Linked DNA regions of Coturnix japonica. The protein of the gene in region 1 interacts with the protein of each later gene in a pairwise test. Links are inferred from orthologs where the notes say so. Each region holds a gene or a part of one and is shown in the gene's direction. Other genes may lie near its edges. The genes, in order: GLRX3, MAPKBP1, CA9, MAP3K3, MOXD1, phospholipid scramblase 1 and TRIM36.

Evidence for each region.
Region 2: the proteins of GLRX3 (region 1) and MAPKBP1 interact in binary tests that used the Homo sapiens proteins (3 or more experiments, as listed by UniProt). The two-hybrid records come from large-scale screens. The link is inferred for Coturnix japonica from reciprocal best matches to the Homo sapiens genes GLRX3 and MAPKBP1.
Region 3: the proteins of GLRX3 (region 1) and CA9 interact in binary tests that used the Homo sapiens proteins (3 or more experiments, as listed by UniProt). The two-hybrid records come from large-scale screens. The link is inferred for Coturnix japonica from reciprocal best matches to the Homo sapiens genes GLRX3 and CA9.
Region 4: the proteins of GLRX3 (region 1) and MAP3K3 interact in a two-hybrid assay, tested with the Homo sapiens proteins (2 studies listed by BioGRID and IntAct). The link is inferred for Coturnix japonica from reciprocal best matches to the Homo sapiens genes GLRX3 and MAP3K3.
Region 5: the proteins of GLRX3 (region 1) and MOXD1 interact in binary tests that used the Homo sapiens proteins (3 or more experiments, as listed by UniProt). The link is inferred for Coturnix japonica from reciprocal best matches to the Homo sapiens genes GLRX3 and MOXD1.
Region 6: the proteins of GLRX3 (region 1) and phospholipid scramblase 1 interact in binary tests that used the Homo sapiens proteins (3 or more experiments, as listed by UniProt). The two-hybrid records come from large-scale screens. The link is inferred for Coturnix japonica from reciprocal best matches to the Homo sapiens genes GLRX3 and PLSCR1.
Region 7: the proteins of GLRX3 (region 1) and TRIM36 interact in binary tests that used the Homo sapiens proteins (3 or more experiments, as listed by UniProt). The two-hybrid records come from large-scale screens. The link is inferred for Coturnix japonica from reciprocal best matches to the Homo sapiens genes GLRX3 and TRIM36.

The regions. Positions count from the first base shown.
Region 1 is NC_029521.1:30,519,131-30,523,185, forward strand, and holds part of GLRX3 (glutaredoxin-3), read left to right. Parts: intron 1-298; coding exon 299-500; intron 501-4,055. UniProt on the Homo sapiens protein: Together with BOLA2, acts as a cytosolic iron-sulfur (Fe-S) cluster assembly factor that facilitates [2Fe-2S] cluster insertion into a subset of cytosolic proteins.
Region 2 is NC_029520.1:22,497,943-22,501,997, forward strand, and holds part of MAPKBP1 (mitogen-activated protein kinase-binding protein 1), read left to right. Parts: intron 1-937; coding exon 938-1,023; intron 1,024-1,402; coding exon 1,403-1,696; 3' UTR 1,697-4,055. UniProt on the Homo sapiens protein: Negative regulator of NOD2 function. It down-regulates NOD2-induced processes such as activation of NF-kappa-B signaling, IL8 secretion and antibacterial response. Involved in JNK signaling pathway.
Region 3 is NC_029547.1:8,485,581-8,490,342, reverse strand, and holds the start of CA9 (carbonic anhydrase 9), read left to right. Parts: upstream 1-1,743; 5' UTR 1,744-1,871; coding exon 1,872-2,052; intron 2,053-4,762. UniProt on the Homo sapiens protein: Catalyzes the interconversion between carbon dioxide and water and the dissociated ions of carbonic acid (i.e. bicarbonate and hydrogen ions).
Region 4 is NC_029542.1:2,178,505-2,183,104, forward strand, and holds the start of MAP3K3 (mitogen-activated protein kinase kinase kinase 3), read left to right. Parts: upstream 1-1,573; 5' UTR 1,574-1,859; coding exon 1,860-1,863; intron 1,864-4,600. UniProt on the Homo sapiens protein: Component of a protein kinase signal transduction cascade. Mediates activation of the NF-kappa-B, AP1 and DDIT3 transcriptional regulators.
Region 5 is NC_029518.1:51,616,485-51,620,187, forward strand, and holds the end of MOXD1 (DBH-like monooxygenase protein 1), read left to right. Parts: intron 1-2,306; coding exon 2,307-2,474; 3' UTR 2,475-2,795; downstream 2,796-3,703.
Region 6 is NC_029524.1:9,825,711-9,829,124, reverse strand, and holds the end of phospholipid scramblase 1, read left to right. Parts: intron 1-878; coding exon 879-1,040; intron 1,041-2,179; coding exon 2,180-2,239; 3' UTR 2,240-2,591; downstream 2,592-3,414. UniProt on the Homo sapiens protein: Catalyzes calcium-induced ATP-independent rapid bidirectional and non-specific movement of phospholipids (lipid scrambling or lipid flip-flop) between the inner and outer leaflet of the plasma membrane resulting in collapse of the phospholipid asymmetry which leads to phosphatidylserine externalization on the cell surface.
Region 7 is NC_029547.1:64,999,088-65,003,931, reverse strand, and holds the start of TRIM36 (E3 ubiquitin-protein ligase TRIM36), read left to right. Parts: upstream 1-1,604; 5' UTR 1,605-1,713; coding exon 1,714-1,740; intron 1,741-2,647; coding exon 2,648-2,882; intron 2,883-4,844. UniProt on the Homo sapiens protein: E3 ubiquitin-protein ligase which mediates ubiquitination and subsequent proteasomal degradation of target proteins. Involved in chromosome segregation and cell cycle regulation. May play a role in the acrosome reaction and fertilization.

The DNA.
Region 1 (4,055 bases):
GACAGTCTTGTGGTAGAAATGACAAGTCTCAATGGGGTGCATTTACCTGTGATGATTAAACTCTTACTATTTCCTTTATCATTCTTTTAATAATAAGCTTTGCTAGCATTAAGAGTAGCTAGCTAACAGGATGGTATGGGTCTTGAGTCTGCTGCAATTAAAGATTGATTGACTATGAGATCAGTATGCTAATTCACCCCAAAAACCTGTATTTTATATGGTGGCTTTACTGTTTTTTGTGACAGTTCACATTCTGAATGTAATCCTTTAACATGTGCCTGTATTTTGGCTTCTTTAGAACTCTCAGAAGGTTGACAGATTAGATGGTGCTCATGCCCCAGAGCTGACCAAAAAAGTCCAACGCCACGCGTCCAGCACTTCAGTTTCTGCTGGTTCTAATGACAGTGCAAAAGAAGATCTTAATGCACGTCTGAAGAAACTCATCAATGCTGCCCCTTGCATGCTGTTTATGAAGGGGTCTCCAAAAGAACCTCGCTGTGGTAAGGATTTTCTGAAGTTCATGTTTAATGTGGCAATGCTACTTTTAGACTACTTTTAAGATGTACTCAGTACTGTGGAATTACATCCCAGTGGTGTCTTGCATACTTGGAAGCATTAATAGAGGTACCATCGTATTGCTTATCTACAGATAGAGAATTGCTGTGTGTTTGCTTCAGTTTAGGAAATGGCATCACAAAGATCAGGTACTGCCAGAAGAACACGTGCAATGCTATCCTTAGACATTCCTCATGTTCAGTCACTGTATTTTGTGTATCATTTCACCAGTTGAAGTGTCATATAGTCTGAAGGGAATGATTCAATTTGGGGTATAATAAGAATTAACAAACAGAATCACCACTGTCATTTTGGATAAAGAAACCAAAGCTGCACTAGCTGTTAAAACTGAAAGACAGTAGCATGTCTGTTACAGCGGAAAGGCTTTTACTTAAGCCTAGTTCTATAAACAGTGAACAAGAATTAAGAGTGCTTTATTCCCAGCTGACTTAGTGTTGATCTGTAGGAAAGCAGGTGAACAATTATTAAAAAGCAAGGTTAGGTGCCATGAAGCTGCCATCTTGCATTGACTTGTCTCTGTTCTCTCACTGTATTGGTCTAGAGATTAAATACTGCAATGTCTGCAGTTCCTTTTATGAAGCAGCTAATGCTGAGATAGGTTTAAGACTGGGTTCCTTTGCTATGTGTGCATGCCTCCTGTAAGGCAAGTTGTGCTAACTATATTGCTGGGCCAAAAAGGTGAAGGAATTTCTAAGTGTAACAGGAAAATCAGAAAAGAGCTAGAAACGGTAACTCCTTACAGTCCAAGCTGCTGGAAATGGGCAAATATTTATAGAACCAATAAAGAGAGCGCTGCTCCAAGTTAAAGTGTTATGTGAAACTTTGGACCCCTGTTGTAGTTGGTAAGGGCTCAGCACATTCTACCAGTCAGGAGCCCACAAATGCTTGGTCTGAGCTGGTGGCGTGGTGTGGTGAGTTAGGGATGTGGTATCAGTTGCCAGACATCCTTGTGCTGTGCTAACGCTGCTTATCTTCCACACATGGAAGATCTCATCATGGTTTGAGTATTAGATTTAGCTCACAAGTTTCAAAGGCAGATATGCTTCTGTAGCATTTCTTGGGTGTTCCATTGGACTGTGTCCAGAAACTAAATAGAAGAACTGTGTGCAGTTCTGTGCAAGTACCTGGAAGGAACTGACTTTACACACCCTGTCAGCTTACTTAAATTTGGAAGGATGCAAATTGTAGCACGTTGATTTGGTGAAGATAATACAGACTTGTGCTATGTGACTTAGAAAAGAGCCTCTGCTATTTTGCACTGTATCTGTGCAGGCAGCATGTTACAGGATTTATATTTCCAGAGATGTGTCTGTAGCACTGCTTATTGAAATCGAGGATTGGGTCCATAGAGTAAATAAGAGCCTTTTCATTAAGTTCAGGTAGCTTTAGGTCATGACCTGTGCTTGACAGACGAGGGAGCTGAGCAGAGTGGCAGCGACAGTGAATCTACTGCTTGGGCCTATTGGGATGGAATTACAGGGAGAAGCTGACACTGTGTGCATTGGACAGGAGAAGAACTGTCTGTCTGTCAAATGCTGGTAATTGGAGGGAGTTTAGTACAGTGCCTGGTGCCCTTTTTGAGAAGGAAAACTTGTATGTAAAAGTCAGGAAACAATATTTGAAAGGGAAGAAGTGACGTGTTGGGTGTGTGTCAGCCTGGGCCACGTGCTGCAGAGATTGGTGCTGCTGGGCTGGGCAGGAGGAGCCTGGCAGCTCAGCCCAGGCACTTGTGTGGCTTGTGTGTCTCTTTTCTTCCTGCCTCTGCTCTCAGTACCTACACAGCATTCCAGCTGCTGTTAAATGTGTGCATGCCACTTTACCATTTGCTGCTGTAAAAAGGTTGTAGAGGGACAAGGGCATGTAGCCCTGTACACATAGAGGCATCCTGAACTGCATCAGACTTCTACTGTATTAGTATTTGCACGTCAGTTATTATATTATCACATAGTGTGATAGAAAATAATCTGAATTTACAGCTCTTAATTTTGTAATTAAATACTATACTTGCTTTAGACTGCTTTGATGGCTCCTGGCAGGAGCTGGAAGATGTCAGTAAGTTGGCTTTCACATCCTGGAGTAGACAAAGCCTCTTTCAAGTTGAGATAATGTAACACTTTGTCAAAGATAATACAGATCTGCTATAACAGCAGTAGGAATAATATAAATATGATTGAATAAAAGGAGCTGTGCCTGTTGAAAGAAGACATTTGTGATGTATATTGATTTGATGCAAAGAATAGACCAGATGCCTTTCATGCAGCTGGTGAGCAGGGGAGGATCCCAATCCATCAGTGGATCTTGAGGTCTCGTGTACTTTGATTTCCTCACTGTAAAGCCAGCTAAGCATAGTGTAAAGCAAGGCTGAGTGCTTATTGGAGAGTGTGTGTGATTGCTATGTACGTTGTGTTGTTTCATCAGATTCTTTTGGCCTGTGGAAGTATTTGTTTGCTTCATTGACAAAGTCGTTTATTTAGGCAGTTTTTATCACTGCAGTAGCTGAAGTGGCACTTGTGATTTTCAAGATAATTGCTGAGAGTGTTTTGTTTGCAGTTTAATTATTACTCGTGATTCTTGTGTAGTATTTCTTCAGAAATTCAACCTCAATCTTTTGTTACAAAACTAAAGCTGTTCTGACACTTTGTCCCGAAGTGTAACACTTCCAGGCTGCTACCATAGCCCTTCAAAATGAAACACAACCGATCAATCTTTCTAGTTTGCATGTAATTGCCTGCAGCTAAAATAAAGCTTCCCCCCGCCCCGTCTCTTACAGTAGAAACAAGTTAATGCATTGGTGATGGAATAACCATCAGCAGTCGGCCTTTAGCTGTTTACTAATGAACTCCCAGATGGATGGAAAAAAAACCATATCGGAATCTGTGTTTTACTTCAGGCTGTACATGAACTTAACACTCCAGTTGTAGAAAGAAAAGCAACTTAGATGCCATCCATAGAAACACTGCTATTTCATATCTCAATAAATTCAGTGAAAGCTGCAGAAAGCTGTAGTAAAAATCCATATTTCAAAAACTAATAGGTGGTCGTGTGAGCTGAAATCAAAGGTTACTTTTGTGTGGCCCTCTGATTCTTTTCTTTTTCCCATTTAAAGCTTCTTTATGTCTTTCTTTCCTTTATTAAAGCCTTTAAGCATTGTCTTTTATTTAACACTTGTGTAGAGGTTTTCATTTGTCTGCACAGGGTTTGTAGGAGTTCTTTTAGGGAACTGATGGAATTGCAAGGACATTTGACTCTGATGCAAAATGAGCTGACAAAGAAATGAAACATACATTATCATCATGTTGTTTCATGGGCAAATTCTCGTGGATTACTTTAGCAAGCCCTACAAGTTATGTAGGAGGATGTATGTCATTAGAAGGGATGAGCGTGAGAGCAACTGCAGGAGGTGTTGGAATAGTTAGGATAAGGATCGTGTCTTAGGAAGGCAGCAGAGCTGCAGAACGTTTCAATGTTGCTGTTGTATA
Region 2 (4,055 bases), on another chromosome or scaffold:
CTAGCAGCATTTATACATCTTCTGTATATATTCATGAATTTATGAAATTATTGAATGAAATTAGATGAGGTCCCCTTCCACCTGTTCAATGATAACCTTTGTGAAGTGCAGAAATAATAGAAGTAATGTGACTAAGTTCTGCTTTTTAGGTAACTAAAGGAAGTTGAATGCCCTTTGTCTAGGCTATTTTAAATTGAAGATAACTGCAGACTGTGTGTGTGTCAGTGTCCTTGTTCATGATTTACGTCTTAACTCATGGAAGTGTTTATTAAAGCCTTGCAGGCCTTCAGCTCTGATGCTATGAAAGTATTGCCCAGTGAAAGGCTGGAAGAAAGTGGTGTTTTTCAGTTCCTTCCTTTTATTTTCAGTCTTTGAATTACAGTGTCACAGTACCCTGAGCAATTAAGGAGTGTGATTCCTTTATGATTGTGTTAGTCAGCAGTCATCTAGAGCTCAGTCCTTGCTAGAGAACACTGTAATAAGTCAACATACTCCTTTGTTCCCATAGCTCATTGTTGTATATGGTGCAGAACAGTATATAAAGGGGAGTGTGTAGGTTTCAGATTAGGTGGATGCCAAATTAGAGGCTCCTCAGATCACAACCCTTTGCTATTGGAAGACTTGAAGTTGAATTTAACTATGAATGAAAATGGCATATGTGATCTCTGACTGTCATTGACTGTAACAGCACTGTGTAATCTATAGAGACCATTACTGACTTTGAAGAAACTAGGCAATGGAAAAAAAGGAATGTTTGAAACAAGAAGCATCTGTCAGTAATATGAAGGAAAGTTCATGCAGAACAAAAATGAATAAGAACTGTGTGCACATGATCTTCTGAATATGTGTAAAGAAATGTTTTCAACCCAGCTGTGAGATCTCAGATATTGAAGTATCTGTATCTTACTTATTTTTTTTATTTTTTCCTCCCATTCAGAACCAAGCATCAGTGTGGAGCAATGTGAGCATGTGGTATCAGAGCTCCAGGACAGCATGCGCAAAGCCATTCATCTTTACCATGCGGTGAGTGATCTTTGACACAGGATCTATTTTAACAGATTGGTTTTACAGCCCAAGAGTACAGAATATGCGTGCTTACACACTCTAATTATTCTCTGTACTGTGAGTTCAGTGGCAGAAGCTGCCTGACTGTTTACTTCTCCGTACCTAAGCTTGAACTGGGCAGGCAGTATTCTTGATTTTTCAACTTCTGCATTTTCCAGTGGCTTGTTATGGCATTCTGAGCAAATCAATTAACTTGCCAAACTGTTTTGTCTATCTGTAAACTGAAAATAACAGCATGCTCTTTTTCAAAGGGCAATTGGGGAATTAGTATTTATACTATGTTTCAGAGATACAGAATATTATAGGAACTTTACATTTTATTATCCCCTTTTTTCAGGTGCTAAATGATACAGAGTCATCTACTGACAAAGATAAAATAGCAGGCCTCCTGACAGAAACATTTTCCTTAATGAAGAAAGAGTTGGACTCCCTGAAGCATGAGGAAGAACTGCCAAAGGTTAAGGAGGTACTGATGAAGCCACAAGATACTGCTAGGTCAATAAATGACAAATGTGGTGCCAATCTACCAAGTTCCAAGAGTTTAGGAGACGAACAGACATTAGCTTTGCTGGAACAGTACTCGGAGTTATTGTTACAAGCTGTTGAACGACGCATGGACAAAAAACTCTAAAAGCAGCGTCTTTCAGGTGTTTGTGAATGCACAGAAATAATCCGAAGAGGAGGACCACAGAGAGATCTTCAGACCAATGCTGTCATCACACTGGTCTAGAGCTGGTGGGGTGACCTTTATAAACTGATTTCCTCAGGCTCCTACAGTTGGCTTGCTCTAATTCTTAGGAATGTGCTGGACACAATTTTAGTGTTTTTTTTTTCCCTCCAGTCGTCTTCAACTTCCTGTCTCTAGATTGTCTTTAGACAAAGTTCTGAAAGAGGAGTTTGGAGAAATTGCCTTGAAATTTCTTCCTAGCCAGGAGATCAGGATGTTTGGCACCTAAAGAAACAAAGAAAATCTCATTTATCCAAGAACTTCTGAACTGCGGACTGAAAACAAAGGAGTCCAAGTGAAGCTGATCCCTTCTCCAAAACTCTAGGAGAATCAAGAAGCAGACTTTTTATGGGTTTATTTATTAATTTATTCTGACTGTTGTTCTGTGTCATGTTTATGACCAGTAACTATCCTTTAACAAAAAAATGTCAATCTCTTGCCATATCCCAGCGAGAAACAATCTCTGTATTATAAATCTCCAAGAGGGAGACAGGCTGGAGTGTCTGTGCAATTAATGAACTGGTTTCTGCTTAAATTTTGTCTTGCTGTTCTTTCTTTTCCTTCCATAGTTTGTTACTTGGAGTAATCCTACTGTTGTTATGACTACTCTTGTCTGCTTTTCCCTTTGTTTCACAAGACAGTCCTCATAGCTGTGTTTTATCTTCATTCGCCTCCAGGGGGAAGACTCCATAGCCCTTGGGCCAAGCTTTGGAGTTGCCTGACAAAATCAGTAGTGATAATTTTAATCTGGAATTTGATGTTACGTTGATGTTCTTCTGCAGACATTTTTAAAAGGGGGTTATATACAAATAGGAAAGTTCGTTTCAGCCACCTTTCACATTTAGGAATTGGATATCAACTTTGATGTTATCAATACTGGTAAATTTGGGGATATGATTGATTTGTGGAGAGATCACACGGAAAGCCTGGTTTCCAACAGCATAACTCTGGATGTGAGAGTTCTTCAGTGCAACTGCTTGTCTTGTATGATTTGTTGATTTCACAGGCTTGATAGAAAAGGTATTTTTTCTTGTTGTTCCAGGAAAACAGAATACTTACATCCCAAGAGAGCTGGGATTCTTGTCCATTTTGTATTTCTGTTTCAGCTACCCACAGAAAATGGTTTTCCAAGAATATACCAAAATATTTTTGAATGTGATTATTGCCATTCCCACCCCCAGCCTCTCTCCATTGATTTCTTGGCTGACATGGAAAATCATCACCTCTTGCATTTGTGTGTACAGTATTCTTCTCACCTTCTCTAAGACTCTGCTAACTTTTATTTATTATGACTTAAAACTGTCCAGTGATATTTTATTAGTCAACAATAAGCTATAAAACAAACAACACCCTCCCCCGCCCCCCCAGTGTACCAACAGTGAAACTCTTCAGTACCTTCCCCTGTAATTCTCACTCCTTTCTATAATCTCCTAATTTACTTGCGTTTATTTTAAGGTAGAGCTTAAAAACCGCTTCTTATTTATACTCCCGCTTTATAAAACTAATGCAAGTAACAAGCTTTCATGTGCATGAGAGAATGCTACCGTCTGTGGCGTTCGCTTAAAGGTAGCTAGACTGCATCAGTTTGTTCTGTGGGCTGGAAGCTTGAAGCAGTCTTCTTTCATTTTGCTGTCCTGGCTGTCATCTCTTTGAAGCCCTGTGGCACTCAGAAATGCAATATGTTGATTAGCTTTGCTTTCTCTTTCTGTGACTGGGGATTTGCAGTGCAGCCTTTTTTACTACTGGGCCAGCCAGACTGGTGTAGGATGGCTTATTTCTTCAGTGGAATCCAGGGCTGAATAATCTGCAGTTGTCACTGTTACCTTGCCTGATCACTGCTGCTCAGTTCTTTGCAATGTGGCAGTATGTGGAGTGCTTTCAGAGCTTTCCAACTGCTTTTGTCCCTAATGTAAATCTGCCTCATTGAGTGTTGCAGGTGTCCTTGCTAACCTTTCTTTCCGTGGACTTGTACTAAAACTTCAGAAGTGGTATCTTCGAGTCCTTTCTCATCATTGTACTATGCTGAACTGATGCGTGTGCTGGGTCCCGTAGGCAGAGAGGTTTTTACAAAGACAAATTGAAAAGTATAGAAACTTTCTGTTGGTTTCCTCGAGTAAAAAGGTGTGTTGGAGGTGCTACAAGTGAAGTGTCTGGTGGCAGTTGTGCTGGGCTGTGATGGAGTTAGTGTGAGCCAAGCTTGCTTTTGGGATGATTAGTTCTTCCTCTTTCAGACTGTGAACATGTATGTCCTAGTAACTTCTTG
Region 3 (4,762 bases), on another chromosome or scaffold:
CTCTGCTTTTCCAACTTGCATGCCAGGCTTGTTGGATGAGGCCACGATCCACAACCCACTGCACTCCCTGACTACGCATCCAATGTGGCTTGCCCACAAATTCACCTTTTGTCCTCCAGTGTCTGTGACTGCCAGTTATCTTCGTCTCTACAAAAAGCTGACAAGGCACAGGAGGTGGAAAGGAGACGTGTGCAATTACAGCTTCTGTGATAGTATACGTGCAGCCTGGAAGAGTAATGAAGAGGGAGGACAGTGAAACCTAAGGCAGGGCAGCAAGGCTGATGGCCTCAGAGTGACTCCAGCTGTGCAGAATAGAAACAACAAATACAAGGCAACCTACCTGACAAGTGAACAGAAGGAGTATGCCCAGGTGTAAGCTGAGAACTGCATAGGGCTTGGCCGGAAAAGGGATAGATTGATTCTGTCCTTCCTAGATAACCAGACTTCTTCCTCTTCTTCCATTTTGTTCATTAAAATGACCAGGACTCTTCTTCCTTTTTATCCTGTAGGATAACCTACAGGAATGTGAGCAGGAAAGGCTGTCTGAGTTGCATTTTATGTTCTGTCCCTCCCCTCCCCCCCTACACACACACACACACACAGTCTTGTTTCCTTGAGCCTTGACAAATAAATGTCTTCCTATCTGATGGTTCGGCTTATCTGGTGTTCATAGGAGCAAGGTGAATCAGGATAAAACCTGCAGGTTGGGAGTGCACTGATCCCACCTTCAGGTCATCCCTAGAGACCCCAGGTGCAAGGTAAGGCACCTGCTAAAGGGGAGAGCAGGAACCCGTGGTGCCAGGAGCCCAGCAACTTGTCTGATATCTTCTTGTACAGGCACAAATTACACGCTCAGCTGAAGGAGTTCCCCCATTCCCTGCTGCAGTTTACAAACAGATACTTTGCTGGTTGGTCTCAAACTTCCTGCTAGTCAACATGGGTTGACAGTGCTGTAAATCCACTACCCAAGGAGTCAGTGCTTCTGGGCTCCCTGGTCCTGTATGACCTGTGATGCCAAGACCATAGACTTTGTCTCATATTGCTTTGCTCCTTCCTTGTGCAGAAGCCATTCCTGTGCCCAGCCAGCCCCTGCATGTGCTGCTTCTCTATCTTTTGTGATGGGAGAAACAAAACCAAGGGTAATAACCGAAAGGAGGATTCACCAGAGGTTTATACAACAGCAGAATGTTTGGGGTTTGTTTCTTCTTTCCATATTTTTTTCTTTCTGTTGTTGTGTTCTTTGTTTCCTTCTTGATAATCCCTAATGTTTGCTTCACTCTCTTGGCAAGCAGTCAGCTGTCATCTCCGTGACTTGTATCTCTTCTGTGAGCTGCAATACCTGATTTAAATCCACCCTCTTGCACCCTTGCTTGCACTACTGTGTTCCTTCCCAGCTATAACACAGACTGCGGTCAGCCCAAGCACAACCCACCATAGCCCCTTGAACTCTTCAGGACCACTCCAGCCTTTCCCTGACCCAAATTAACATCAGAGCTAACTCCATCCCATTACTGCCTGCACACTTCTTCAGACTACACTGAAAAGGTCCCTCACTGGAGATGTTATTCACTGTGGGCGCCCATCAATAGAGGCTTCCATCGATGGAGGAATCCATCACTGTAGAATCCCTTGTGGGCCCCTCACTCCCTCCCCCCCCCTGCGCAGGGGCCACTCAGGTGCCGTCGATGCCGGGGGGCGGGGGCAGCCCCCTCCTCCGTCCTTCCAGTGTCACGGATTCGAGTCCCGGTGCGGGAGGAGGCGGCGGCGTGGCTCACCTGTCCGGGCCGGGCGGCGGCAGACTTTGCCTCCAGCCTCTATAAAAGGTAACGGCGGCGTTGAGTCAGGGCTGCCTCCTCCCCCCTCCTGTTCCCATGTATGCGCGGCAGTCCCGACCAGCAGGCAGCCGCGGGCCGTCCCGCACGCCGCACTTGCTGGAGATGAACCGCACCGCTTTGCGGGTCTGCGTCCTGCTGCTGGCCGGGCTGGGCCGAGCCGCCGCCGGGCAGGAGTACGAGCACAACGAGGACAACGCTCCGCACTCCCAGGAGAGAGGTGAGCGGCAGAGACCGGGCTGCACAGCGCTGCCTACGGGGTCCCGACAGGCGGGATCCCCCCCCACCATGGGGGCTTTGGGTCTCCGAGGCAGGGGGCAATGCCATGCACGGGGCACCCCGCAGCCGGCTTCGTGTTATCCCGACGCACGGATGCCCGATTTCTCGCTGGGCTTTGGGGCTGCAGTGCTTCCCGTTACGGAGCCCCGCGTCCCCTCGCAGCCCCGCACGCCGCTGCCTTTGTCCCCGCTCCCGCCAACTCCTCACCCCCGCGGGGTCCGTGTCCCCGCCCCGCGTTCCGCTCCCACCGGGGCTCGGGGCTTTCGGCTGCCCCACGGCGGGCGGTGGGATGGGGGCAGCGTGGGAAGCGTGGGACGAGGTGCTGTTGTGTGCCTCCCCTCACCCCACGCAGGGGGCTTTCAAGTTTTGGGGTCATTTTGGAGGGATAATGCTCAGCCCCTTTGGTCTCGGTCCCTTTTCTCACTGTGGCGTTCAGCAGAATTTGGGGATAGTGCGGTTTGAGCACAGCGCAAGGATGTCCCCGTCCCAGCTTTGCTTTGCCCGTGGGCTCGCCTTTCCAGGCTCAAAGTGTGTCTTCACTGGTGTCAAATACAGGGTGCCGCGAGCTGCTGCTGTTATTGCGGTGATTCACATTTCTTACCAAGTCTTTGTTGGGCTGTGCGTGGGGTTTTGGGGATGCGCTGCTCCTTGCCACAGAGATGGAGAAACTCCGCCGCAGGGTGGGAGGGAGCTGGGTGACACCGGCTCTGTGCGGCTGTGAGCATGGCTAGGGCTGGGTGGGATGTGGATGGGAAGAGGATGTGGCAAGGAGCAGTAGCCAGCCCTCGGTGAAGGTCTGGCTAGAGCCCTTGGATTGGGGCCGGGTCCCATATGCATTCCTGTCTCTTTCCCCTCCTCTCAGCTCCTGCATGGGGCCAGGCTGGTGGCTCCCAGTACGTGCTGCAGCCTTCTGTGAGGCTTTCCATGAGATTTCCCAGCGTGGGAGCCTGAGGAACCTCTGGTGTCTTTGTAGTAGTGCAGCCTATCCGTTCTCTCCCTCCTATTCAAACCCATTCTGCTTTGTGTCCCCTCTGCTCGTTGCTCCCTGATGCTCTCTTCCTCCATCTGAGCTCCCTCCTCTGTTTTAACCCCCTGATTCAACTCATTCCTTTGCTTCAAGCCCCAGTCTTTTCCTGGGATTTCCCCACTTTTACCCCATACTTTCCCCTGGCACTCTTCAGGGCTATTTGGTTTTACAGGCAGCAGGAACACACCGGGGGCCATTCCTGCCCTGTGCCTCCCCCCACAAATTCTCACTGCTCCATGGGATGCTGCCTGCCTCATGGGGCCCCTCTGTTCCCCAGCAGCACAAAGAACAATCCCTGCGGCGACCTGAGCTCCGGTACGGATTAAAGGCTGATCCCCATGGCTCGCTGTTGGCCAAAGTTAATAAACACAAAAGGGCTTTAGTGCAGCCAGGATCAGTGCCCCGTGGGCAGTGCGCACAGTGATGGCTGGGGCTGCATGGCTGTGGGTTTGGGTAGACAAAAAGGGGCTATGCTTGTGAGATCGGGTTGGGGAATGCTGTTTTCCTGTCCATGAGGTGCAGAGGCTCTTTGTACAGTTTAGCAGGGAATGCTGGACATTTTCTGCACCCTGTACCAGCTCTGTGCCTGGGGAGCTGGCTGCGGGCAGCATGAGCACAGTGGCACAGCCTCTGTACCTTGGTCGGGTTATTACTTGCAGAGGACAAGGTGCCTGAATGTGTGGTAGGCTGGGACTGATCTGTGCTGCTCACTACTTTGAGACATGATGTATCTGTGTGTCCTGATGCACACCCCATATTGCTCTGTTCTGTGGACTGACCTTCCATCTGAGGATGGAGAGCACAGACCCTCTGCTTTCTCTGGTGTTGGCTCTTGCTCTGTACAAACAGCTACGGGTGTGTAGTCTCTGCAGCCGTGGGGATGTTTCTGGGAGCAGACTGCAGCTTTCTGCTTTCCCCCACTGCTAGGAGCAGCTGCGTTGCTCACAGGCCGCAGGACATGCAGAACAGAGCACTGCTAATGGCAGCGCCCGCCCCGACTCAGCGGGGAGGTGTTGTTGGATGGTGTTGGACGTCAGGAAGAAAGTAATCCGGCAGCAGCATTGGGATCCCAACATGGAAAGAAGGAGAGGACAGCAGGGAGAAAACGCTGAAAGGGGGAAGTGTGGCTGCTCTTGGGTTTGAAACACCCCCTGCTCAGGGGAGGGGTGGGCTTGGAGCAAGTCGGGACCAGAGGGACTCCACGTGGCCAAGCACAGTGCCTTTGTGCTGTCTGCAGTGGCAGCTGGCTCCTGCTGCTGCCCCTGTGAGCCCCACAGTATTTCCCTGCTGAGACTCTCCTTGCTCACACCTCCCAGCATGTTCATTGAAGCCCTAATGCAGCACATTTTTCCTTACATGCACATTTTTGGGAGCACATTACAGCCCCTGCCAGGGCTGAGTGTGCCCAGAGGCAAGGCAGGGCATGCAGGGAGCTGCAGGGAGCTGCAGCACCATCACCTCTGTTGTGGTGCATGGCAGCAGTTCAGCAGCAATCAGAGGGAGAAGACGTGCTGCAGCGGGGAGCTGGGATGGAGGCTGGGATTGCATTTGGGCTGGGCAGGGCAGAGGGTTAAATGTGCATGCCAAAGGACTGTGGGATTGTGAATGCCCCCGTGTGGAAGGG
Region 4 (4,600 bases), on another chromosome or scaffold:
CTCATCTATTAAAGTGGAGCCTGAAATGGGATATGATTATCTTCTTGATGTATTTAGAGAGAAAACACCAGGGAAGAGGAAAGGATAATTTAAGTGAAAGGATAATCTTGGCATGAAAACAAACAGCTGGGCACGAATGTACAGGAAAACTAGAAAGAGTTTTGTAATTTCAGAGTGATACAAGAGATGCTAAAAATGAGCCTAAACACTGGTAATGTTGGGCTGTGTTTTCGGATGGGAACTTGAAGGTGATATGTGTGGAAACCCTCTGCTCCAAAACCAAAGGCAGGGCTGAGATGATTGGCTCTGTGCACAGCTTCTGGCCCTTGATGGCTCAGATCTGTTGATCTAAGCATTCCTTTACAGATTGATTTGTCTGTCTCATTTGGCGTAGCAGGATCTTTTCATTATCCCAGATAACATCATCATGATTTGGTGATGCCCTGAACTCTTCCTGGCCCTCACTTTAGGCAATTTTTCCTTTCCAATCCAGTTTTCCTTCCTGTGTTTTCCAGCTGATGCAGCCTCTCAGACATGAAAACATTTAGAAAACAACACGCTTGCTGTTAGATGTCTGCTGGATAGACAAGCAGCTGCTGAAGCCATCTGCTCAAGGTGGGATTCCCAGCAGCAGGGTGGCCATCATTGCATTGAGGAAGGAGAGCTGGACTTGTTCTTAATGAAACAAAACCCCTCTGCTATGCCAAATACACCCCCAAGGTGGAATGGAAGCAGGGCAGAGCAGCTGAAGGCTGGCTGCTGTTTTTAGAAGATGAGTTGATTTATGGAGCTTGAGGTAGAATTATTAGCTTAGATTGGACAGGAACAGCAGTTCTTTGCCCTAATATCTGTCTCATGGCATGTTTGTGTTGTGTTTAGCAGGGATGTTTTCTGCTTTATGGGCACAAGGGGAGGTGGCAGCTGGGAATGTTAAAGGAGGAAGAGCCATCAGGAGCCCATCAGCAGGTGAATGAATGGCACAGGTGAGCAGTTCTATTTCTAAGGACACAACAACCACATCCTCATTAATATGAACCCCTAAATGAAAGGAGAGGGGTTGAGTGAGCTCCAGCCTCGTGTACCTAAAGCTCATCCATGTGGATTTACTTTCATACCAAGTAACTTCAACAAAGGCACCGTGCCTTTCCCCATTTCCCCCCTGCCTTTCCCCCCTTCCCCTTGCCTTTTTCCCCCTTCCCCTTGCCTTTTTCCCCCTTCCCCTTGCCTTTTTCCCCCTTCCCCTTGCCTTTTTCCCCCTTCCCCTTGCCTTTCCCATCCCATATTGAGCCCTTAGGGAGAAGAGCCGGGAGCGGTGGGCACTAGGACCCAGCGGCGCAGTCCGAGCGGTGGGCGGGGCCTCGCTGCCGCCCGTCATTCTGATTGGCAGCCGGCTGAGGGCCGGTCCCCTCCGTTGGCGGGCGAGGAGGCGGGGTCAGCGCAGCGAGCAGCACGACCCCCAACGATTGGCTGGCGACTGTCTGAGCGGCGAGCCGATTGGCGGGCTGTGCCGTCGGGTGGGTGGCTCGGCGGCGCTGATTGGCTGAAAGCGGCGGGTCGGCCCCTGTGATTGGCAGGCGGCGGCGGCGGGTGCGCGGTGGCGGCCGAGCGGTTTGTTTTGCTCGCGGCCCGGTCGCTCGGTGCCGCCGGCGGCGGGTGGGGAGAGACCGGCACCGGCCGAGTCCCGGCCCCACAACCCGCAGCCCGGAGCGGGGCCGCCGGAAGGAGGCGGCTGTTTGGGCCTGGGAATGTGGCGGCGGCTCTGAGCCCTCCCCCTCGGCCCGGCCGCCATGGAGAGACGGCGGTGACAGCAGCGTACCACAGCGCGCCGCCCGCACGGAGCGGGCCCAGAGCCCACAACCATGGGTGAGAACGGGGGGTGAGCGGGATGGGGGCGGCTGTAGGATCGGACAGGACTGGGCCGCGATTGGGATGAGGGGCGGGGGCGGGACGAGACGGGGCGTCGCCTGAGGGAGGGGGGGGAACGGCCGGGGGGGCCTTAAATCTGGATGTTGGGCTTAGAAAGTCGGGCTGGGGGGTCTTAAATCCTCGATATTGGCCTTATAAAGTCGGGCTGGGCTTTGTGGTGTTGGTACCCGATTCACTTTTTGCTTTTCAGCGGTAAACGATGTAGTTTTTCTAAAGCAAGATCAGGTTGGACGGGGCCTTGAGCAACTTGATCTGTGGGGTCTCTATGGGGATCTGTTGGGATCTATGGGGTCTCTATGGAGTCTATGGGGATCTATGGGGTCTCTGTGGGGATCTATGGGGTCTCCTGGGCAACCTGATCTAGTAAAGGTGTATGTTTGGTGGCCCTGCTAGGCAGGGGGGTTGGAACTACATGATCCTTGAGGTCCCTTCCAACCCGGGTCACTCTGTGATTCTGTAAAGCAGAACTGACTCATTTGCTGGCAGGGGAATCACTGCTGTTACCTGCAGCGCTTTGTGGGCCGTAGCTTTGATTCTTCCTCCAAGTTTGGTGCTGTGGGACTCCCTCAGCGTTCAGTCTGTGCATGTAATATGTTCACTTCTTTATATTGTAACTGCATTGCAAACGTCACTCCAAGCAAATGCAGGATGTTCCGTTCCCTTTGTGCCCTGAGACGATCCCAGGCACAGCAAGACCTACAAGAAATGCCTATTGTATAAATGCAGTAGATGGGCAGGTCTATAAGTGGGCTCCTCTTCTCTAAAGAGAGATGTCTGGTGTTCCCCAGGCAGTGTTATCTCTGCAGGAGCCAACCTGATGGTGCAGAACTCACAGCAGCCAACCAGGAGGGTGCAGAGCTTCCATGGAATTGCTTTGTGGGGCTGTTGGATGCCTCTTGATAAACACGTGAGCACGGGATGAAGAAGAACAGTTCCACGGTCGTGTTGTAATGGCAATACTGATTGCTTGCAAAGGGAGAGATCCAAACTCATTAGGCTGTTGTGAGCAGATCTTTTAGAGACTGTTTTGCTGTGACCCTGAGCTTTCTCCCACCTTGTTTCTCATGAGATTCTCTGACAGATGAGTGCTGCCATTGAGAGGTCAGTGTTGCAGGTTGCTGAGCTCCATTGATAGAACCACAGCTCGCTGGCACTTCGCAGAAAGGGCAGTCATTTCCAAACCTGTGCTTTCCAAACAGAGCTCCTCAGCAGCAATAGGCTCACTTGCTTCTAATACAGAGAAACGTGAGTGTATGTGGGAAGCAGAGGGGAGGAGCAGCACTCAGGCCCAGAGTGAAGTGCTCCTTGCAGTCCTGCTGCTGAGGCTCTCCCCGGCCTGCTCTGCTTTCCTGCCTGTGTCACTTCCTTCCCTTAGCTCTCATTGCCTGGCGCTGTGCAGTGACAGCCCCCACTGCTGGGGGAGGGAGGGGGCTGAGCCCAGGGTCGGTCAATGCCAGCTACAATCCTCAGTGTGAGGAATTTCTCAGTGTGAAGAACCTCAGATACATATCCCAGCTCCATAGGGATGCTCAGCTTTTTCTTCTAAACCTTCAGGCCAAGTTTTCTGTTTGAAATAAACTTGCTCGTTGCCCCTGGTTCTGCTGGCAGAATAGCCAGCAGCATCGCTGTTGGTGGCAGCAGATAACAAATGCGTGTGTTTGCTTTTCTCAAACAACTTCTAGTGCCTTCTATTATCATGCTATATAAAATACCATCCTGGATCATAGAGGTTTACAGGCTTTTCTGCACTCTGCAGACGCTTTTACTTTGGGGTTTGTTTGTTTTTCTTTAACCCTATTCCTGTTTTGTACCACTGCAAACACACCGACCTGCTCGACCCCGTGGAGCAAACCCTGTACGCGTGGAAATAAACGCGTTATGAGGATGAAGGGTTTTCTCTGTGAGCAGCAGTTCCCCTTTATCCGATGGTAGAAAACCCGTGAGTGTAGTTTTTCAAACATGAGAAGCATTTCCTGGACAACATCTTTGAGCACAAAGCAGAGCTGTGTTTCCCAGACCTACTGGAGACGTAGCAGCAAAGGGTCCTTCAGTGAGCTTCCAAAATTGCTTATTTTTCATTCCTAATAACTTTTGCATTGTGTGATTAATGTGATGCTGCTGCATATACTCCCTTAAAGCCAATCTGTGCAAATCCTCTCTTTGGATGGAAAGAAAGAAGTATTCATGCTTGGTAACATTAAATCCATCACAATGTTGTCCTGAATGGAAACATTTCTTCCTTTGGCAAATGTGTATTTCACACCGATTTTGTGTTAAAAAATGATAAATACTCTGTTTCCCACCAAAACAAGGATGAATTCTCTTCTGTATATTGTCTGAGGGAGATGGTAGCCCAGTCTGTGATACTAACATCACATAAGCTCCACCTGCTGCTGCGTGGCATAGCGTGGCTGTGTGCTGTAAGATCATAGCATTAGTGCTTGCCTGCAGGTGAATGGAGCACCCAGCAGTGCTGCGACCCTTCCTGCTCACCAGGGGGTTCTGCTGCTACCCAGGTGCTGCCATGAAGAGTTTCACGTTGCAGAGTTGTGTCAGTGCACAAGTGAGCTAGTAAGTAGTTGCACATCTAAGCTGCAGCCTGCATCAGGAGGCTGTGGATGCCCCATCCCTGCAGGCATTCAAGGCCAGGCTGGATGTGGCTCTGGGCAGCCTG
Region 5 (3,703 bases), on another chromosome or scaffold:
TAGAGAAGTGATTTCTTCTTATATTTCTTCTTTCTTCTTGCTCTGTAGGGGAGATTGTATTGGCTACATAAGGAAGCCTCCAGAATCTGCTCTTTAATTCATATATCTAAACCACTTAAATCTATACAAATCTTCCAACATCTCTTTTCTGTTGGTACTGTATCTTAAAGATATCTGTAGTAGTGGGTCAGAAAAATGCATCAAGCATTGCCCATCTTTTTATGCATTCTTTCTTGGAAGATTTATAACTTTGATAGTTTTCCTTTACCTGTACTTTTGATGAAAAAACTGTAAGATAAAAATAATTTCCCATTAATTTGTTATTTATTCTAAATTAATGTTATATTAGCAGGACCTCTGGGAAAAACTCTTATCATTAATGTTGATATGTGCTTGTAAATAACTACTAGTGTCATCCGCTGGAAAACATGCATTGCTCCTTGAAATCCTTTACAGATTCCAAATTCAAGATTTGATTATACTTTTTTGATTTTTTTTTTATTTTTTTCTCCCCAGAGGGGAAATTGTCTTATTCTGCTAGTTCATTTCCTAACTGATTTTAATCCAGCTTAACAGAGCTGATGCTAAATACTACTCATGAGAGAGGACCTAGGAAATTGTCACTCTGCAGAAAAGCTTCTGTTGCTTCTGAGATGTCACACAGTAGTTTCAGGTAGTGGAGAAATTCCCCTTCCAGCAGCAGTGTCCTAAGGTCTCTCAAACATTGGACTGTTCTGCCCATGGGAGGGCAGTAAAATACTGTGAGCTATAAGTAATCAAAGAGATCCAGATATATGTTTTTTTTAATATTTTCCCCACTGCAGACTTTCTGTGAAGAGTAGTTATTGAATACATGCAATAATAGAGCAAGTGACTATTCGTTGGTTTGGGGTAAGATTCTTGGCTAATTGCTGTCCAGTAGCAGCTACTTAGCCACTTTTTCACTGATTATTAGTGAGAGAACAATTAAAGAAGATGGAAAACACTCAGAATTTTTATCAGGAGTGGATAGGCTTCTTTATTCTTTGAGTGGTTTGCTTTCTGGAAAATGCTGTTTCACTTTATCTTACAGGATGAAGGAATAGTATTTGGGTCTTAATTTTCTCAAAGACCGAGTTCATTGGAACTGGGAGTACTTAGTTCTCTCTTTATCACTAGTTTCCTATTTCAAATGACTCAGTCATATTCTTCAAAGCTGAGATTAGGGCTCTTTCCTTTTCCTTCCCTAAGTAGGGATATTACATGTAATTGGCTGTACTCATCAAAATCAGAAACAGATTTAACCTGAAAGGCTATGCAGCGAGTTGTCACAAGAAGGTAAAAACATGAAGTGGAGGAAGTGAACTGAAAATTCCTTTATCCTACTATAGGGATAGCCTAATAATCAGTTTTATCTTTGTCTAGGAATAAGCCAGTATTTGGATTATTCTTTCTCTGAAGTGCAGGATAATTGCAATGTAGAGAAAACCACCGAGCATGTATTGTACAGTTGGACATTCAGACCTTCAAAAATATTTGTGCCCAGGGGTTCACTCATCATAGAACTAATTTTCTTCAACATAAACCTGACAATGTTTCATTTAATTCAGGAATTAAACCATGTAAGCATGGAGTAGATTTAGGAGATTTATAACTAAGTGGCGCACCTAAATCTCTCTGATTCCATGTCAAAGCCAGGACAGACAGGTAGATGCCATACTCCATAAAAATTACACTGAGTTCTAAGAGAAGAGTAAAAATGCCCAATATATAGAAGCATGACATAGCTCTGGGTGGCCCTGCTTGAGTCGAGAGTTGAAACAGATGGCCTCCAGAGGTCCTTGCCAATCTCAGTCATCCTGATTCTGTAGAACTAAAGTGATAAAAATGTGAGCACCATCAACTGCCTTCTACATATAAGTAAAAGCCTTGTATGTGCAAATGAATGCTTTCAGATATTATCCAATATCTCAGTAGCACTGTAACACTGTAATCTTCCATTTTCATCTTCCAGAAAGATGAAAACAAAAACCAAACCAGCCAGAAAATCCCACAAAACATAGCAAGGTCATGCAGATCAATAAACAAAAGCCTAACCTTGTTTACTGGAGAGGATGCCAGTGTACACAGCTGTTTCCAAGCTGAAAACAGTAGATCCACTCACTGGCTGATCATTTGACAAGTAATATATTAGTATTTTTACTGAGTTTGATGTCTTCACAGTAAGATCCACAACTACAATACAAAGCTAACAACAGATTCTTGTGCAAGCTCTGACGGATCTAATCTTATATGATGAAACTGATAATTTTTCATTTTAATTGCAGTTCCAAGGCATGACAGCTTTTCCTCCTGAGGTAGAGAGACCATACAAGACAGAACCAGTAATATGCAGTTCATCTTCCTGTTTACCTTGCAGTTTATCCCTCGCTCTGTTGTTTGTGGTACATGTCACATACAGTACCATAGGAAACTTTGGGCCCTTTGTACAATAATTTTTATTCATTTGTGTTCTGTATGCCATGCAAGTTCTGATGTGTTTGCACTGTTGCTGTTGTAGATTTATTTTTTTACATATTAATAAACTAAATTTGCTAGTTCAAAATAAAATGTGTACTTTGTTTGAAAACTGTGGTTTACTTGGTTTTCAATGTAAAGTATATACAAAACACAGTAGGTACACTGGCACGTTGCATATTGAAATCTTTTCACATACAGTTTTGTTACACTTTGTCCTGGCTCTTCACATCATGTTTTCAATACCAACTATGTATATGGGTGAAATTAATAAACTAAAAGAAACTTAGTTAATCACATTCAACCTGGAGTATGCTTTATTATTTTGTCTTGGTTCTTGATATGTGCAGGTTAAGAAGTAAACATGTACTTGGGTATTTCTGACTGGCACATGTAGTACAGCCACAGGGAGGATTTATTCAGGGGAACATGTCTAGGAGCAACACGTTGCAACTGGTCACTCCTCTTATAAGAAACAAGTTGCCACAGTTGTTAAATGGATGAAAATAGGGACAAAACCCCAAAATTCCCCATAGGGATTCTTGTACAAGGAGTCCCTGGCTAACCAGGGGATTCTCTCCTCATTTCTTCTCTTCATCTTTTCTTCAGTCCCTGACAGTTCAGTGTTTCTTTCTTCTTAAGGTATTGGGTAGGGTCAAGCAGAGCTTTGGTGAGGCTAGCACACACTTGTTGTACACAACCTTGATATAGCAGAACTGATGAAGATCAATCTTTCTCAATGCTCGGTACTGGTATGCACAGAGAAGGGAGTCCAAGCCTGCCTGCCAGCAGCTATTGTTAGCACATGCCAAGCATCCTGATATGCCAAAGTGTTGATAAAGAGCTTATTTTTTGCATACCACACACCTTGTATGACTTTTTTTTTTTTTTTTTTTTTTTTTTAAATGTGAAAATCTGTGTCTTCTTTACTGAGATGTTGTTCAGGAGGGAAATTTTCCTAAAGATACCTAATTAATTCCCAATGATATTATGCAACACACTGGAAAAGGACTTACTTTGTCCCTAAGCCCTCATTTCCATAGGCACACAGTAGCTGCAGTTAACTATACATTTTCCACATTTCAGCATAAACATTACTGGAGGTCAGCTGTGAAAATAAGGTCTTTTTGGGTGTTTAGAGTGCTTCCCTGACCACTGCAGTACCAGCACTACAACTAATCTCTGTAGACATAGTTACATAGAGATT
Region 6 (3,414 bases), on another chromosome or scaffold:
TGCTGATATAGTCAATTAAGTTATCTAAGTAGGCAGATCCTTCTGGAAAAGCCTGCCAAACTTTCAGAAATTACGTCAGTGATCTGATTTCCATTCTCTTAATGGAAATTTGGTAGCAAAGTCTTTATTAATCCATGATGTTAGTCCCTAAAAGGAAAAAAAGTTGTATTAGCTGTTTATTAAAATGAGTTTCTACAACCACTTGTCCAGTCATTTAATAGTCATTCACTAACCAAGTAAGTCATGATTTAGACCTAAAATATACATTTGAATGACTGAAGAATTACAACTATTATTTAAAAAGAATACTAATTAACGTATTAGCATTTTCATACAAATTAACTAATAGATAAACTAACTAAACTTTGTTTAAAATGATACTGTAAATCGCTGAAGCGAGTTTAGTCTGATTTTATTTTGGGGGATTACACTTTCATAGAACTATGAACACTGGGTGTAACTTTAGGAAACAACGTTAAGAAAGGGCTAACCTCTCTTTTGGAATGAGAGAATGTAATTTGTTTAATTTTCCCCTGAGCCTTTCCTGATGCATGGCAGGATATAATAATTGACTCTGCTGGCTAAAAGACAGTACTCCCAACAGAGTGTGTGTACATGCACACGTACATGTTTGCATGTAAAAGCTGACTTCCAACACCAATGAAACACTGAATTCCCATCAGATTTAGAATTAAGTTGATGCCTGTGTTACTTCACTCTGACTTTCTGGTGGTCTGGCTTGTCTTTCAGTACTAATAGTCGCATTCAGTGACTGCATTACTTTAATAACACAATTTAAATCTTTCTGATGGATCTATAATTAAAAGAATTTGTGGATTCTTTAATAACTTCTTTTTTTAAATTTTATGTTGAAATAGGTGAAGACTTTGGATGAGGATGCTACTATTGGGAGGATTTCTAAGCAGTGGTCTGGGTTTTTGAAAGAAGCATTTACAGATACTGATAACTTTGGAGTCTCATTTCCAATGGACCTTGATGTAAAAATGAAAGCTGTCATGCTCGGTGCTTGCTTCCTTATCGTAAGTCTGTAGCTTACTGATATTTGAATATGAACTGACTTCATCTCAGTGTTTAAATTGTGTTGATAAAGGTTTTGATTTTGGGCTCCTTGAAGCGCTTGAGAGCTTTTGGTCAATTTCTTGTGTGTAAAACTAACCCTGGAGGGAATATTTTGGATAATAAGCTTATTCTAGTCTACATGAAGTGCTGACTACATTAAAAGGAGCTTTATACACAATCAGATTAACAAGCCCCATAAAAGACAACTTTACAGACTCATAAGCAGAGGCAAGCATGTTTATGTGGATGGTGAGACCAGAAAAGTAAAGAACAGCATTAGCCAGGAGGCCCAACCAAGGCTGGAACAGCCCACTGAGGTGGTGAACCACTGATAGGTGCTGCATCCAGTTCATCCTTCTTGGAAATACATGAAGCACCGAGATGAATAGGATTAAATACTCTCAGAGGGATCGTTTCTATGGGCAGAGTCTTATATGGGGGCAAAATACATCTAACTTCATACTGTCCTCATCAGCATTCTGACTCTGCCATGCTTGTGTTTCCACTTACCTGTGCAATTCAGCATCAGGCACTGCTTCAGAAGTGCTCTGTTTCTGTTTTGGTAGGGCTCTGGAAGGGCAGGAAGAGCTTGTTGCAGCATCTGCATTTGGAAAGTTCTCACCAGCTTTTACAGCCCTGCATATGGACCAGGTTTTCCTTAGCTGTGTGTGTTCAGGTGCAAGGATGTAGGTGAAGAGTAGGGAGTATGAAGAAGCATGGACCTCAGGCACAGAATATGGGGCTCCTCTTTGTAAAGATAGAGACCTTTATGGCAGAATCCAGTTTGAGGTAATATTGAAGGGACTTGAGTCAGGTTGAAGGAAGTTAGGATGGAAATCCTAAGTAAAGGAAACATGCCTTCTGCTAATGATAAAGTTAAACATCTCAGTCTTCTACCACTTTTTTTTTTCTCTTGTTGTGGATTCCTCGTTTTCTCTACAAGAGACTCAGGAATTAGGTTGGAGAGAGGTATTCCCAGCTGCTTCTTGTCATGTAAGGTTTCTGGGGAGTAATTGCTTTGAATACCTGCAAAAGTACCACAAACCAAGATCTAGATTTTAAAAGGATTGAGTTTGTTTGCTTTTTGTTTCCTTCCTAGGACTTCATGTTTTTTGAGAGCATTGGTGACAGCCATCAGCGAACGGGAGTGTGGCAGTGAAATCTAGAACTTTGTATTTAGAAGGAAGAAAATAAACCACCCACTTGCCAGAGGATTACAGAGCTCCAGTGAGAATGTGAGAGATGGACCTTTTGCACTTGTAATTATATTTCTATAAACTAAAAGCTTTATTGTCTAGCTTCTAGTTCTGTAATCTAATGACACTGTTGTATTCAAATAAGCACTTTTTGTCTGTACAGATAAATAATGTAATGTATAGAAATATATAGCAGCCTTTTTTCCAAGAAATTTGGAATTGTTGTATTAAAAACTTAATTCTTAAAAAAGAGATCTATTTCTTTGTTCAATAATAATATAAGCAGTCAGCCTAATAAAGAGGTTCTGATCGTTTCGTATGTATCCTTCTTTGGTAGTTTTGGCTTGGTGTTAGTATTCTGTTGTTTCCAGCTTACCAAGTATATACATTCAAAACAAAGTAATCTAAACAAACAGAACTATCAAAATACACTGTAAAAATTGTATTAATCTAGTTATGAGTCTGCTCTCATATGATTCATTTAGTTCCCTAATTTTGGCTCTTTTGAAACTTAAGGTTTTGATTTTCACCAACAGAAGCTAGAGGAGACTGTTAAAAAGAAGCAACCACAAGCATTTGTTCCTAATACTTGCTGAAAAGTATCTTGTCATCAATTTTTTATCAAGGGACCAATTTAAGAGTGAATGCAAATATCAGCAAGGTAATAGGAACCTTGGGCTAACGGGACATAACTAGGGGCCTATATTCATTCCTCCAGGTAACTCAGAATCTTGTGTTTCCAATATTGCTGTGCTTAGATGTTCAGTGTAAGGCCTGAAAGCACCTTCAGTCCAATCTGCATGCAAAATCAGACAAAAAACAATAACATCTGTCTCTCACATCAAACCATATAGGGAAAATATTTATTGTAAGAAAGAAGCTAAGCCTTGCAGATTTGCTTGAACTGGTATACTAACAGTAAAGAACTTCTGCAATCTTGAGTCGTTAAAGCACACAGGAACCACAGGAACTTTCCATCACCTGGCTAACTGGGTAGTTCTGGTACTGGTTCAACAGTTTTTTTGCCTTGCAAAATGCTTCACAATAGTCTTCTGTGAGGCTGAAAATATTACTCAAGAAGTCATAGCTAAAGGAATAACTCTTCTGTTCACCAAACAGTATGCTACCACTGTCGTGA
Region 7 (4,844 bases), on another chromosome or scaffold:
TTTCCTTCAGTGGAATGCATCTGCTTCTCCTCTGGGCTTTACTTCAAAACGACTGTAAACAAAAAAGTTCCTGATGCTGTAATTGATAACAATACTTGTCCTACAAGTAGAATGAAATAGATAAACCGATATAAACCTAGTGTGAATTTCAGATCCAGGGCAGCAACCCTGGTGTGGATCCCTAAGAAACAGCTGTTGATTTTGTTGAGATGTGGACCTTAGCACGCTCCATTTTTTAAAGGAAATCCCTGCTCTTTTGCTATTGTCTCATTCATTCACTCCACTCTGCCATCTTTTTCTACTCTCATTGTGATCTGTGATTTATAAGGAATAGTTTAAATGATATTTCTCTTGAAAAAATCTAGAAGCATTTCCATAGAAAAATGGATGCTACCAGAAACCTTTTCATGACAGTTCTTTCATTTGTTCAGCAAGCGATTACAAAGGATGGAGGGGAACAGCAGTGTCTGCTCTGCAGACTGTTGCCTGTATCTGGTCCTTGTATCCCTGATGCTGTTGCTTGCCAGGCATCCTATGCATGAAGCAGAATGCAGTACACACGGCACAAGGTGAAAAAGCAAAGATACACTGACCAAAGGAGAATAGTTCCCAAAGCTGAGCATTACCTCAGTATTGTGGTAGTTTGATGAGCACAGTCTTTATTGGCTGAGCGCTCTGTGCAGCAGCAATGTGACCTTCCAAATTTGTTCTGTCCAGCTGATCAGGTTATAGGATTCAATAGGAAACCCATTGAACCATGAAGATCATGGGCCTGTAGCACATCCCTGCAGGGCAGATAAACAAGCCAAACCAGAGCACTAGGGCTTGACAGTTTTATATTTAAGGCCAGAAATCCTCACACCATCCTTACTTTCACTTAGATACACCCATGTCAGTGAGATATAGCTGAAGGACAATCATCAAGAAGGCAAAGGTGAGCTTGCCTTTGTAAGGCAGAGCAGGCACATTTCTTTAAGGCAGCATCAAATCCATTCTTACTGCTGAGCTGCATGTTGTCCAACCTGCATGACTGACAAAACGCTAGGGAAAACAGTGATCTTCAAGGCTGAGCTCCTCAGGGCTAAGAAGAGAAGATCCCACTGCAGACAACTTACACATAGATTAATGTGTGCTAAAACCCTGTTGCATCCATCCCAACATAACCTACTTCCATGGCCCAGAGTGAAAAGGGTCTCTGTGGTGGCTCAGTCCCCAGGACAATGCCTGCTCTGTCCAGTAGGTCAGGAACAAACCTCACAGGCATCCTCTATTCCTGCTGTGTACACACTGGCTCTGCTGCCAGCCAGCTCAGGAGAGGAGCCCTGGGTGGAAAAGCAGCATGAAAGAAAAACAGCCTTGCAAAATTTGGATTTAAGAGCTTCCCAGCGGCCTCAAACGTGTATGCTGAAGGCAGTAGAGCTGCCAGGATATCCCGATCTATTTAGGGCTGCACTGTGCTGCTTCATACAGCAGAAACCTGGTCAATGCCAAAGCACGAGTGTAGGATTCGTGCAGCTGCAAACATCTGGCTGTCACCGATCGCGGCGCCCCCTGCCGGCCGCTCGCTGCCATTCATTCCCTGGGCGTGGCCGCCCCCCGCGGCGCAGCGGCTGCCAGGTACCGCGTCCCGCCATTGTGCGCTGCCGCCGTTCGGTCCGGAAAGGCGGTTCGGCCCGGTCCGTCTCCATCGCTGCGGCAGGAGGAGGGGCCGGTATGGAGGGCGACGGGCTGGAGACCGAGGTGAGCGCCGGGCTGGGGGCGGCTTTGTCCGGGGGGTTGTCGGGCTGAGCCGCGCTTGGGATATTTTGTATTGGGGTATTGGTATTTTTATGTCTTTTTGTTTGTTTGACGGCTCCGGGGGTTTATCTCCGAATGGCTGTGAGCGCGGGGCGGCGGCGTGCTGCCGTGCTGCCGTGCTGCCGGTGATGGGTGGCTGGCATCGGTTCTCCTCCCGGCGGGGAACCCACCCGCACGGTACCGGGTTTTTGTGCAGGGCTCCAGTTCTACCCTGGGTAAACCACAGCAGCTCCGGTGCCCGACAGCGACTTACAGCCGCTGTCTGCCCAATTGGACGCTTATTTTTAATTTTCCCCTAAGTGACGAGCAGGGAAGCTGAGTTAAATGTGTGGCTTGCTATTGTTAAGAAGCGTGGTTGCCTTCGTGCCGCTACGTCCCAAGGTGCAATTAATCTTACTTGTCTCCTTTCCTTCCCTGCAATGCAGACATAACCTAAAGATGAACCAAGTTCGCGTAGAAGCCGTGTGCTTTTCAGCTGCAAGGACTCTCATAAATGTTAATAAAGATTTGTTTGCAGTGTTAACCAGAGCACTGCCACAAGGCAGCTAAAACCAGCCATCATTCTGCAGAGCTGGGCTTGGGTGGCATGAGTAGGGACAGCATCCCTCAGGGTGGTGATGCAATGGAACAGGTTGCCCAAGGAGGCTGTGGATGCCCCATCCCTGCAGGCATTCAAGGCCAGGCTGGATGTGGCTCTGGGCAGCCTGGTTGGTGACCCTGCACACAGCAGGGGATTGAAACCAGATGATCATTGTGGTCCTTTTCAACCCAGGCCATTCTGTGATTCTATGAGCATGGAGTGTCTTACAACTTGTGCTTTCTGCTTGGTTTTCTCCTCTTTCTGTCAAAGGTTCCTACCAAAAGTATTGAAAGAGAGCTCATCTGCCCAGCCTGCAACGAGTTGTTCACCCACCCGCTGATCCTTCCTTGTCAGCACAACTTGTGTCACAAATGTGTGAAGGATATACTGTTCACAGTTGAAGACTCGTTTGCTGATGCAGGTTCTGAATCCTCAAATCAGAGCAGCCCCCGGTTTCGAATCTCTTCTCCTAGCTTGGACAAGATTGACAGAATCAGTAGATCAGGTACGTGTCAGAGTTTTGCTTGTTTTTTTAATGTAATGTATTAGATTGACTTGGGCTGAATGGTATCTGCGTGGGTAAAATGTCTTCTCAGTCCTCCTGATGTGGTTAATTAGACGACTTAGGATAGCACGGATCTTATTCATTCTGTGATAAGAACAGTGGGAAGGTTTTAATTTCAAAGACAAGGCATTTCACAGAGAACACATTTGACTTTGTGGCACCCTGTTTGTAGCCATTGCCTGTTTATTTCAAGTCCTGTTGGGCACCCAGGTGTAGATGTCAGCAGCTTTGTTGTCCTGCCCTATTCATGCTGTTTGCATTGCATTGTTTTCCATTGATGGCGATTATTGGGTGATTGAAGAACTGGAGGCTGTGGCTATTTGGAGGTTGTGCTAATAGTCTTTCAGTGTTTTGCTCAGGGCTTTAAGGTGCACTTAGCTTGAGGACTCGTATCACTTTGTGGTATCATGGTATACAGACTCTGACTGTACTCAGCTGTCTCTGTAATTCAGGGATGAGGTGATCAGATTTTACACAGATACACTGGAAGTATTTTATGCATGCCATGCATCTTAAAAGAAACCTCATCTCGGCTTTTAGACTTCATGCTGGAAAAACTGCCCACTATAAAACCACATTCCGCAGTGCTCCGGAAGAGTCATGTGCAAGACACACCCTGAATCTATTTGCATTTCATGTTCACATTTGTCCCCGTCCCAGTTTTCAAAGTTCAGATGTCGTTGCCTTCACTTACGTGACGCTTTGATTTATTCAGCTGTTCCCTGAAATTGGTTTGATAAGTAAATGCTGTGCTTGCCATCGCTTGGCTGACTGTTGCTCAAAGGAATCAAACTGCTAGTTATCTTCATTCCAGCCCTGTTCCAGTATGTGGTGTGGACAGCCTTGAGGTGACTGAGCTCTATACACACTCCATTGCCTTCCTCAGCTGCAGTTTCACAGGAGCCCACTGGTAACTGTGTTACTCCAAGTGGAGGTCTGCTCACTTCCCCCCTCACCCCCCTCCCCACACCCAGACAGTCTGGTCTTCTGGCATTGCTTTGTATGTATGGACTGAGAGCCTCCCTGGTTTTGCAGCTGTCAGCTTTGACAAGGTGGGTATCTTAGCCCCCAGGCTGGGTGCCTGGAAGGTGCCGAATGCACTGTGGGTGACCTCCTTGTGAGAGACAGTATAGGAAGTGTGAGGAGGCTGTCCATGGGGAGCAGCCTTCTTGTGCTGCACTTCCCCTTTGGCCTGTTATCCCACCTTCATCTCGCTCTTCATCACGAGTAGAAACAAGAACCTGCTGTGACACGGTCCAACTCAGTGTGCAGCACAGTCAGCCCTGTGTGAGGAAGGAGGCAGAGGCTCCTCCGAGGAGCCATAAGAAAACAAATGCTCTCACATCCCCCCCTGCATTGGAAGGGAGGAGAATTTCAAAGAGTTGATTGCGGGGGTTTCTAGAACTCATTTCCCAGTTCTGCAGTAGTAGCTGGCTGTTTTTTTCGCAGGGTTTAGATGTACTACTATGTTAACACCACTGACAGCAGGACAGGAAAGACCTATTTGTGGTATTCCTGCTCCATTGAGATCTATACCATCAGCTTATTGCAGGCGTTGCCATCTTCACAGTAGTCTGTCACCCTTCCAGCAGACAGATAGAGTGTCCTGTGTTATCTTCCTATCTGACTTGTTAGCTGGGGGAGATAAATGCTTTGCTAATGTCTTCATACCCTTTCCATGAACTTCAGGAGAGTGCTGAAGCTGGGAAGGAATTGTTTTCCCTCTGTTTCCCATAATGAGTGTTGGGCAGAGGCACATCATAGGCAAATCATCTTCCCAGCCATTTCGGATTTGCACAATGAAAATCATATGGAAATGGGAGCTTTAAAGAACACATTTGAATGTTTAGGTTATGCTGCTGTCTTTGCTTTCTTTGCTTCTGATGTTACAGGTGTTGTGGT